Linked DNA regions of Caenorhabditis elegans. The protein of the gene in region 2 interacts with the protein of the main gene of each other region in a pairwise test. Each region holds a gene or a part of one and is shown on either strand. Other genes may lie near its edges.

Region 1 (3,522 bases), on a different chromosome or scaffold from region 2:
GCTCTCCATAACCAGCCCAAAGAGTTTTACGGTCAGAAAATACAGCATCTCCTCCGCCTTCGAAGATCTGAAATTTTATGTTTCAAAATGGAGAACAAAAATTCTCTGGCAAATTTATACCTCTTCATATCCTTCCCCAATAGTTTTGATATTGTTCTTCTTGAACCATTCCAAGTAGAGTGGTTGCTCACCGCTTCTGTAAAAACATAAAATGTTTCACACACAATTTCCTTTATTCTTTTTTCAAACTCACCTTTCCTTATGCCTGAATCTGGACAAGTAAACCTGATCATCATAGACCAATCCACTATTACAAACGAAAACTTGATCTGGAAGACCCTCTGTTTGCTCCATTGTCAAAACTGGAACACCAGCGTTTTCGATTGCAGATTTCAAAGAATTCCATTGCTGATGAGCTTTTTGCTTGTCAACAACTCCTCCCATCCATGGATTGATTGTGTATTCGACTGTGAAATGCTTTGGTGGAACCATCAACACTCTCTTCAGAATATGGGCAGCAGATTTTGCAGCAGACATTGTTTCAGACTGAAAATTCAATTGTTTAATTAGTTTTCAAAATCATTTTAACTCAAAAAGTAAAACCAGTGTTTCTAATTTCCAAACTGACAATTAAATAGGTCCAAACTCACATCAGACATTATTATATAGCAGGTTCAATATCAAATAACTATTGTTAATAGTCTACTCGAAATTGAAATGATGCACCGAGCTAACTAGTATCTTATCAGTTTTTATATTGATACGATTTGTTATCAAATATTGGTATAAAGGTGTTAGCAGCTAGTCTGCAAAAAGTTCAAACTTTCAAAAATTATAACACCTGACAAAAAATTTAAATTTTCAAACAATTTTTAGTCGTAACTTTAGAAATTTAACAAATATTCAAGGAGGAAGTTGAATGTTAAACTAGATAGTTCAAAAAGTAGAACCAAAAACGCGCGAGAAAATAAAAATAAAAGAATAACAATGTACACCCGTGGTCATTTTATTATCCTCCCTCCTTCTTCCCCGAACCCTTGTAAATCTTTCAATATGTCTTGATGGCCTTATTACGTCACAATACATATTGTGATTGCAGATCTTGATTGATAAAAATTCCAAATGAATTATGATCACAGGAAAAATGTTTTCTCGGTGTCAGGTGCCAGGTGTCAGGTGCAGGTACTCAAAAGACACCGGCAAATGAATTCCAAAGGTTTGTGCTTTGAAAAGCTCCAAAGATCCTTGCTATGCAAAATATGTCAATGGAAAAAGAAAATAAACATTTTTAAAAGAAAGCTTTTATGAAAATTCCATGTAAAAAACGCGAATTGGGACTTTCCAGGTATCCAGAAAAGCTTTAATTTTTGAAAGGTTAAGAAATTGATATACGCGTTTTCCAAATATCCAAGGTATTCTTGTAGTTTCCCCAATGCATCATTCAAACCAAGAGAGCTAGACGCAGAGAAACCAGATTGTCTGTCATCTCTGCGTATCTTTTTCCCGATACAAGCTACAGTGTAGTCTCACGGTGTGGAACAAGTCACCACGTTGCTTTACTTCTCTAGAACTATTATTTTCCCACGTTATTTTTGCATCTATCTTCATTTCCCACTTTCTTATCACTGCAAACCGAACATAGATCACAGTTCGTTGTCTCGAAAACTTATAAAACCACACGGTTGTTTGTGCAATTTTTATTTAATTTTTTAAACGGGTTCTCAAAGAAAAATTGCAGAAAATATAACTTTGATCTACTTTATCGTTCCCGCGAATATTTTTCAAAACATCTTTTCCAAATCTACACTCAACTTACGGATTTTTGTCTTGCAGATTTCCGTTCGCCGTGCCCAAAAATTCGAATTAATTTTGGAAAATGCCAAAACTTCCACGTATCGACTTTTATTTTGACGTGATTTCTCCGTACAGTTATATTGCTTTTGAGGTTGGTTTTTTTTATATACGATATTACATAAAAAACTGTGGTTGTACGCATGTGTCGATGGTTCTCTTATCCTAGGAAGTCAGGAATTTTTTTTGAACAGTGTTACGGTACAATAATATTTTTTAGTTTTAAAATTCGTAAATTTATTATAGTTATAGAAATTATGCAATGATAAATTGCAGGTCTTCCAAAAACTGGAAACCCAATGGAAAGGAGTAACAATCCGTTACATTCCATTTTTCCTCGGAGCCGTCATGAAAGAATCAGGAAATCGTCCTCCAGCAATGCTCCCAGCTCGATCAATTATGATGATGACTGATTTGAAGCGAACTGCAAAGTTCTGGGATATTCCATTGACTCCACCACCATTGTTCATGGAATGGATCAAAAAGTACCGTACTACTGGAGCAATGAAGGTTTTGTTGGTTTTGCAGGAGCAGGATAAGGAGCTGATGCTCCGAGCAGCTCGGGAAATGTGGGTCAGATTGTGGTCTCGAAGTGAGAAGATTTTTGAGGATCAAGACTTTGTGGAAGTATTGAAGGCAGTTGGTGTTAAGAATCCGGAGCAAATTGTGGAAAAGAGCAAGGATGAGAAATATATAAAGATTTTGATGGAGAATACGAATAAGGGAGTTGATTTGATGGTAAGTTATTCATCTTTGAATTAAAAAAAATTGGCAATTTTACTTTTTCAGGCATATGGTGCTCCATGGATCAATGTGCACACAGAAGATGGATCGGAGCATTCATTCTTTGGATCAGACCGTTTCCATTTGATTGCCGACCTTCTTCAACAGCCACAACCGCTTCCAGACCGACTTTTTGGCCAGAAATCAAAACTTTAAATATTTGTTGTAAGATAAGATGCGCTAAATATATGAATAAATTGGGTAAATATTTTTAATTAACTCTCTCTGAAACAGTCTGACAATCGACATAATCATAGATTCAAAAACTACAAAGAAAAATTCCAAAAAGATTTGAATCTAAAATCTTTTAGTTGGCTGCACTCTAGGTTACTTTTCAATTTTACGAACTGTAAAATATTCCAGAAAATTAATTATATGTTCAAAGTTTTATTCAAATTACATCTGCACTGTTAGTTGTGGGAAAAACCCAAAAAATCACAAATCAGTTGGCCTTGATCAATCCGGCGAACACTTGATACAAACCCCAGGTTCCATCCGGCATTTGCTGAAAGTAGAAAAGCTTTATCTACTTTAGATAATAAAAGTGTACCTTTTGGGCAAACTTCTCGCAGTAGTTCATATCTTGCTTGACATTGTCGGTTCCAATGACGCTTGGTGGAACTCCCATCTTAAATGGATAGGGTTAAAGTTCGGATTTGAATTTTTGGATTTTATCAGCAGTGAGCCAATTCTGATTCTGATATGACTTACATCATAGATGACATAAGCCCATCCTGGCTTATTGATATAGAAGTTGAGAGCCTCTGACATGGTTTCGATGTCATTGTAAGTCTTAACAACCGTATCGATTGTTGCAGAAACAGTGTCGTCGATGCAGAAATCTGAAAACAAATGAATTTCAGGTTTACTCTAGAAAAAGAGGAGCTC
Region 2 (8,225 bases):
AAATCTGAAAAAGTGGGGGAAAATTGTCTAAAATTTCGCTGAAAAATCGATTTTCAGCTCATTTTCACTCAAATTTCCCCAATTTTTCAGCAAAAATGCACACAAAAAAATTAGGCCATTCCATCGTCATCCTCATCTTGAGCCTTTGGTCCACGTGGTTTTGGTCCTCCAGTCGCCTGCTTTGACATAATAATCTGATCAACTTTGAGAATTGTGCTGGCGGCGTCTGTGGCGAGCTTAATTGCCAGTCGTTTTCCAGCGTAGAGGTCGAAAATGTTGTTGACGACGGCGTCCATTGTTTCTGAAAAAAAAGAAGGAATTTTAGTTTAAAATTCGGGATTTTTCAGAATTTTGATTGAAAATTTACAAGTTTTATGCGCTGGAAATTGACATTTTTAGCCAAAATTTCGGGGGGTTTTGAGGAATTTTTACCTGAAAATTTGGCATTTTTCAGAGTTGAAAATGGCCGATTTTTGGCTGAGTTTTCGATTTTTTCATTCAATTTTTTGCATTTTTGAGTTGATTTAAAGAAATTTCAGTTGAAAATTTCGGATTTTCAGCTAATTTTCTGAGCTTGAACCGAAAAGTTGAGGTTTTTCAAAAGGAAAATTGGCCAATTTTGATTAAAACTTGAAAATTTTCTGTCAGTTTGCTGATATTTTTTTTTGGAATTTTTAGCAAAAATTGAATGTGTTGTCTGGAATTGGGGGATTTTTTTTGGAAATTTTGACGTTTTTTGGAAGAATTTCAGTTGACTTTTGACTGAAAATTGCCTATTTTTAGCGAAAATTCCGGGTTTTGTGAGGGTTTCCAGCTGTGAAAAATCAGTTATTTTAATGCAAAAACTGAAGAAAACTTTAAAAAAGTGAAGCAAAACAAAAGAAAATTGATGTTTCCGGTCACATTTTCAGTCAAAAATGCACATTTTCAGGTAAAATTCAAGTTTTTCGGCCATTTTTCGACCTAAATTATTGGATTTACAGTGGAAAATTTAGGTTTTCGGCGAATTTCAGCCGAAATTGTTAGATTTTCAGCAGAAACAGCGGAATTCCGGTGAAAATTCAAATTTTCAGTTAGAAATGTTTTCGGTAAATTTCAGCAGAAAATTTTGAATTTTCAGTCAAAAATTAAAGTTTTCCAGTCATTTTTCGACCTAAATTGTCAGATTTTAAACCGAAAATTCGATTTTCTTCGAATTTTCAGTGCTTTCATTGGGTTTTTTCAAGCCGTACCCCGCTTCCAGATATCAATTCCAGCGTTTTTCTTTCCAGCAACATGCTCCGCGTAGAGTTTTGTCAGAGTTTCAGTGGTTGGCATTCCAGCGTTCTCAGCAATAGCTTTTGGAAGAGTTTCGAGTGCGTGGGCGAACTTTTTGATTGCATATTGCTCCAAACCAGGTGCTTTTGCTCCAAACGACTCAATTTCTTTGGCGAGCTCAATTTCGACGGCTCCGGCTCCGGCGAGCAATTTCCCGTCTTTTGTAAGAGCTTTATAGGTGTTTACAGCATCATCGACAGCTCTTTCGACGTCATCAATACGAGATTGAGAGGATCCACGGATTATGATTGTGGCGACTTTTCCGGTTTCTGAAAATTTGAGAAAATTGAGATTTGAAGCTGAAAATTTGAATTTTTGGCTAAAAATTGGCTTTTTCAGTGATAATTTTAACATTTTCAGCTGAAATGGTAAATTTTTGGCCAAAATATTGGGAATTTACAGCTCAAATTTTGAGGTTTTATTTGCAAAATTTTCAAAAATCTAAATTTTTAAGTAAAAAACCGGAATTTTCAGCTGAAATTTCAGTTTTCAAGTGAAAATTCACAGAAAATGGCAAATTATCGGTGAAAAACACCTCGTGGGAGTCCAAATCTTCAAAAACAGGCCGTTTTTGAAATAAAAATTCATTAAAAAGTGACAATTTTCAGGTAAAAACGGTAGAAATTTTGGTCTAAGCTCATCAAATTCCGCAGTTTTATACGAAAATCACAATTTTCGACTGAAAACCGTCGAAAATTCCGAATTTTTTGGTCTAACATTGTAAAAATCATACTTGTTTGAGTCAAAACTCGCCAAATCGTTTTTTTAAAAGGTTTCCAGAGCTAAAAATTACAAAAAATCGGAGAATTCCCGTTTTGGGGGTCAAAATTTCCTAAATTCTCAGTTTTTCCACATTATATACCCGATTTCTTATCGAAAACGACGACATTTTCGTCTCCAATCTCTTGAACAGCCACAGAATCACAGTGTCCCAACAGATTAACAGCTGGAGCACAGATTCTTGCTTGTGGTTGAGCTCCGACGGTACGGCAGAGGCGGCGAAGATCGAATTTTGATGTAAGACGGACGGCCATAATTTTGTATTTATTCAGGAAATGGAGGTACATGTCTCCGAACTTTCCAGCGGCGACGACAACCTGAAATATAGGGAACTTTTTTAGGGAAAATTGAATTTTTGGGCGTAAAAAATTGAATTTTTAGCAAGAAAATCACATTTTTCTGGCTGAAAATTGTCATTTTCTGTTGAAAAATGTATATTTGAGCTCGAAAATCATATTGTAAGCTGAGGAAAGTCCAATTTTTGGCATTAAAACCGAATTTCCAACCCGAAAAATCACATTTTTCAGTTCAAAATGTAATTTTCAGGCAGAAAATCACACTTTTTAGATGAAAACTCCAGTTTTCACTTGGAAAATCGTATTTTACGGGCTTTTTTCTTTTGAAAATGTAGCATTTTTCGACTAAAAAGCAACAAAATCTCAAATTTTTAGTCCCTAAAAATGACAATTTTTATAATCAAAATTCACATTTTTTTCAGCTGCAAAACCTGCAAAAAGACCTGGAAAAACGAGAATTTTGGAGGAAAAATTGTGTTTTTAGACTGAAAACCCAACATTTTTAGGTTAAAAATTGCGGTTTTACTGAGAAAATCACTTTTTTGGTGCCAGAAAATTCGATTTCAAGCTGAAAATTGACATTTTTCAGCGTAAAATCTGTTTTTCAGATATTGAAAAATCCCATTTTTAGCCGGAAAAATGAATTTAAGCCAAAAATTAACTGTTTCGCTGCGAAATTAGCGGATTTTTTTTGGTAAACAACTACATTTCAGCCAAAAATTAAGCTTCTGGCGGCAAAATTAGTTGCAAAACATGGAATTTCAGACAAAATTTAGGTTAAAAAAAAATTTTTTTTGGGAATTTAGAAGCAATTTAGGAGCTTCTCTTCATCGTTTTAGCCGAAAAATTAAGCTTTTCAGTAAAAAAATGAGTTTTTAGCGTCAAACTTTCCGTTTTCAGCTAATTTTTCAGATAAAAACTCCGGAATTTCTTATACAAAGCCTCGGAGAAGCTCATTTCAGCCAAAAAAAAAGAAAGAGAAATCATGAATTCAAGAATTTTCCGAGTAAAAATTCACGTTGAAAGTCAAATTTCATCTTTTTTATCCGAAAAAACGCGATTTTCATCGAAAAATTGAGTTTTAGGGGTCAAAATTCCCTTTTTAAGCTCAAATTTTTACCTTAACACCGTTATCAGCGATAGCTTTAACCTGCTGCTCCTCAACTTCAGCTTCCTCTCCCTTGGAGAAGTTCATAAGCCAAAATTTAGCCAAAATTGAGCTTCTCGCTGCATATTTTACCATTTTTGGCACAAAAGACAAAATTTTTAGCATGAAAGCAAGAAATTTCAGTCAAAATTCCCGTTTTCAGGTCGTTTTTAAAATATACATTCCAGAATTTCTTATATCTGCCTCAGAGAAGCTCATTTCAGCCAAAAAACGAGAAATTTTAGCGAAAAATTCAGCTTTTGTACGAGAATTTAAGAATTTTCGAAGTGAAAATTCCCGTTTTAAGTCTATATTTATCCTTTCAGCCGAAAAAAAAAAATAGAAAATTAAAGCCAAACACCGCGATTTTTATGGAAAAATTGAGTTTTCTGGGGCAAAATTCTCTTTTTAAGCTCAAATTTTTACCTTAACACCGTTATCAGCAATAGCTTTAACTTGCTCTTCAACTTCAGCTTCCTCTCCCTTGGAGAAGTTCCTAAGCTCATCAGCATTCTCAATAAGAACAGTTCCCTTAGTTTCAGTCTGAGTCAAGTCAAATGGACAAGTATAAACTGCAATTCTAGCGTCGCGAGCTTCACGAATTTCTCCCTCGGCTCCACGTTTAAAGACCATTCCGTTCATAACTGTTGAAGTATGAACTCCTGAGCCAATAATCTTGCAGATTCTGATATTATCAACGTTGAAGTTGAAACTGTTGGCCGGGCACGTGGTTACACACGCTTTTGCCACCAAATCAGCGATAATATCCTCGTTATCGTACTGTTTTGAGGTGATTGCTGAACGAATATATTGACGGACTTCTTCGATATTCTTCATATCTGTAGCCTCTTTTACAACCAATGTTGGCAGGATTTCGAGGGCTTTCTCGGCGGCTTGCTCGTATCCGGCAGCGACTTCTTGTGGTGTCATTCCCTGGAAAAATTGGATAAATTTATGCAAAATTGGATGCACAATTGAATTTTTGGCGGTTTTTTTTACTGGAAAATTTGTCAAAATTGCTTGAAAAACGCCGAAAATCAATTTTTTGGGGTTTTACTTGGTAAATATCGAAAATTGAAGGTTTTTGAGTGAAAATTGAAAGCAAAAAGCTTGAAAGTAAGTAAAAAAATCTGAATTTTTGACCGTTTTCATCCGAAAATTACATTTTTTAGCTGAAAAATCTCGCAAATTGGATGTTTTTGGTGCCATTTCCTGGAAAATTGACGTTTTTGAGTGAAAACTTGCAGTTTTATGCATAAAAATATGAATTTTAGGTAATTTTTCCAAGAAAAATCAAAAAAATTCGGGGGTTTTGTGTGAGAAAATGTTCGGAAATTAAATATTCTTTGCTCAAAAACTAGTTTAAAATTGATTTTTTGGAAATTTTTCCCAAGGAAAACCGATTATTAGTCAAAAAATAGCGTTTTTCTAAAATTGTTGGGTCAAGAATACCCTGAAATGGATCAATTAAGCATCAAAAACATTTTTTAAAAAATTGGAATTTTTACTTGAAAATGAGAAGAATCTCGAAAAAAAAGCTGAAAAACTGAATTTTCGCGATTATTTAAAAGGAAAATTAGATAATTTCAGCAGAAAAATAGCATTTTTTGCATAAAAATGATGTGAAAATGTATTTTCTCCGCGAGAAATGAGGAAAGTTAGCTGAAAATGGAGAAAATTTGGGATTTTTCAATAAAAAATCTTGAAAAAAAACGCGAAAAATCGAATAATTTGTAAACTTTTTAGTGAATTCGACATTTTTCCGCCGAAAAAAAAAAGCGAAATTTGAGGATTTTCGAGTGAAATGTAAGAAAAAAGCTTGAAAACTAGCTGAAAATTGCATTTTCGGCACTTTTTAGTTGAAACTTTTCGAAATGTTGGGGTTTCTAGCGAGAAATGCGCAAAAATCTCTGGAAATCGGATTTTTATATTCAAGATAGCAAAATTTGGTATCTTTTTTGCGGGAAATGCTTAAAAACAAGCAAAAACGACTTTTTGGCAGTGTTCTCTCGAAAAATCTATAATTTTCGCTGAGAAAAGCGTGAAAAATCGATTTTTCAGCGATTTTTCATGAACTTTGGGCACTTTTAAGTGACAAAATATATAAATTGGAGGATTTTTAGATTAAAAAACCCCATTTTTCAAGGAATTCGAGCAAATTTCCACAATTTTCGACAAAAATCAACGTTTTCCAGTACCATATGGATGAGATTCGCAGCGTGCTCCAACAAAGCGGCCGCCAAGATCACAACGGTGTTCGTGTTGTCTCCGATCTGTAATTTTTCCCATTTAAATTTAAATTTTCCAGTTTTTCTATTGAAAAACCTGCTTCTCCTGCATCTCGGTGGCCATAATGATGATACGGGCGGCCGGATGCTGAATTTCGAGCTCCTTGAGGATGGTGGCGGCGTCGTTGGTGACGAAGAGCTTCTCGATGTGGTTAATCACCATTTTGTTCATTCCTAAAGTGGGAAAATTGGGGAAAAATCATATATTTAATGTGAAATTCTGCAATTTTCCGTACCATTTGGTCCGTAGGCCGATCGAATCTGCGAAGCGAGCTCCGTACAGGCCTCGATATTCCTCTGAACAGCCTCGTCGGTTCCTTTGAAGTGCTGAGCTCCTTCCTTCATGAACCGGTTGTAACCGGACTTTGGGATCTTCATAGCCATGATTTACCTGCAAATTATTAGATTTTAGGGGCAAAATCGAAAAATTGTGTAAAAATTGAGTAAGAATGAGCAATTTTAGGTGAAGTTTTAGAGATTTTGGTCTAAATTTTAGGATTTTTAGATTGTTAGTTGTTTTTTCAGCTTGAAAACTTCAGAAAATAATATAAATACGGCAAAATTCACTTTGAGAAACTTCACGATGACAAAACACTTCAAAATGGGAAATCTAACCCAATTTCCGGTTTTCTGGCCCAATTTCCCACGTTTTTCACCGATTTTAAGCTTGAAAATCACGATTTTTGCTTGAAAAACCAAGAAATTCGGCGAAAAACTAAAGAAATTTCATGGAAAACACTGGAAGCGGCGAACAAAATTTGAAATTCGGAAAATTCGCGAGCATTGAAATTGCTGGCGGGTCCCGCCGCGATTTGCCGCCACGGGAGATGTGGGGTACGGTGGATTTTGATGTGTGTACACCATTTGCGCGTCAAGTTCGGTGTCATTGCGGACTTGACAACAATTTTTTTATTTTTTTTGTTGGATTTTTTAATTTTTAAAGTGGTTTTCAAGGTTTTTTTTTGAATTTTTTTGTGGAAAATAAATAAAACAATTAATTTTTCACTAATTTTTCAGAAAATGCCAGTAATAGTTGTCAATGGAGATTCGGATTTTGACCGCAAGTTCTCCGCGGGCAACGGGAAAGCGGTTTTTGTGGATTTTACAGCATCCTGGTAAGGCTTTTCAAGGGATTTTCAGTGTTTTAAGCATAAATATATCTTTCTATATTCTCCAGGTGCGGCCCATGCCAGTACATTGCGCCGATCTTCAGCGACTTGGCCAATCAATACAAAGGCTCCGTTTTTCTAAAAGTTGACGTGGATGAGTGCCGTGGAACTGCCGCCACGTACGGCGTCAACGCAATGCCCACATTTATCGCATTTGTGAACGGGCAGAAGAAGGCGACGATTCAAGGAGCCGATGAGAGTGGACTGAGGAGTATGGTGGCTAAATATGCGTCGACTAGTGCCGCATGGTCTGGAACTGGACAAGTTCGTAGAGAAGATCGGAGAAAAAACTGAATTTTTTACCTGAAAAATGACTTTTCTCGCTCAGAAAGGCTGAATTTTCCCGCAATTCTCTGACAATGCCCAATTTTTTAGACAGTTTCCGCTTAAAAATTCACAATTTACTCTCCACACCCCCTAATTTTAGCCCAAGAGTTGGCAATTTTCAAGATTTTGGTTCGAAAAATCGCAATTTTCACTCAAAAATTACCTATTTTATGTGGGTTTGCTCGAGAAAACTCAAAATTTTTCGCATTTTCGTCAAAATCAGCAGAAAAAATATTTCTCTTCAGATTTCGTATTTTTTCATGCAAAAATTGAATTTTACTACGACGATTTTTCATCCGAAAATTGAGTTTTAGCCCCAAATTTTCACTTTTTCACGAAAAAAGCTTAACACTTCCAGTTTAAAGACGAAAAATTCCGGAAAATTTGTGATTTTCTTGTGGAAAAGCCCAAATTTTCGACCTAAAACCGGATTTTGACACATTTTTATTCGCTGAAGTTGAAAATCCATTTTTCAGCGAAAAATCGAATTTTTCAAGAAAAAATTGAATTTTCACGCAAAAAATCGGCTATTTTGCTTGAAATTTCACTTAAAAACCCCATAATTTCCAAATTTTCGCACAAAAATTACAATTCACACCCCAAAAACCCTAATTTTAGCCAAAAAGTTGGCAATTTTCAAGATTTTGGCTCAGAAAATCATCAATTTCTGCCCAAAAATTCTCAATTTTCTTGTTTTTTGCTCGGAAAATCACATTTTTCAACCAAAAAGCTCAATTTTCAGCTTAATTTTCTCAAAAAAAAAAAAATCGTATTTTTCCACCAAATTGGTAATTTTCAAGATTTTGGCTCAGAAAATCACAATTGTCGCCTAAAAATGCAACACTTACGCCCAAAAATCTGAAAAAATTTCAATTTTCCGTGGGTTTGCTCGAAAAGCACG

What was found.
Region 1: the proteins of cct-8 (region 2) and gstk-1 interact in a two-hybrid assay, tested with the Caenorhabditis elegans proteins (one large-scale study listed by BioGRID).

What each region holds. Positions count from the first base shown.
Region 1 is NC_003280.10:9,654,873-9,658,394, forward strand, and holds gstk-1 (Glutathione S-transferase kappa 1), read left to right. Parts: upstream 1-1,816; 5' UTR 1,817-1,876; coding exon 1,877-1,945; intron 1,946-2,127; coding exon 2,128-2,589; intron 2,590-2,640; coding exon 2,641-2,790; 3' UTR 2,791-2,847; downstream 2,848-3,522. Other genes in the region: ZK1307.1 (Amidinotransferase), read right to left, coding at 1-67, 121-196, 254-546, 651-659; ZK1320.2 (uncharacterized protein), read right to left, coding at 3,077-3,139, 3,185-3,262, 3,346-3,476.
Region 2 is NC_003282.8:1,087,702-1,095,926, forward strand, and holds the start of cct-8 (T-complex protein 1 subunit theta), read right to left. Parts: upstream 6,220-8,225; 5' UTR 6,213-6,219; coding exon 6,065-6,212; intron 6,003-6,064; coding exon 5,866-6,002; intron 5,814-5,865; coding exon 5,739-5,813; intron 4,474-5,738; coding exon 3,967-4,473; intron 2,415-3,966; coding exon 2,180-2,414; intron 1,587-2,179; coding exon 1,233-1,586; intron 302-1,232; coding exon 111-301; 3' UTR 1-110. Other genes in the region: Y55F3AR.2 (Thioredoxin domain-containing protein), read left to right, coding at 6,849-6,943, 7,006-7,261. UniProt on the Caenorhabditis elegans protein: Molecular chaperone; assists the folding of proteins upon ATP hydrolysis. Known to play a role, in vitro, in the folding of actin and tubulin. Required for correct subcellular localization of pgl-1.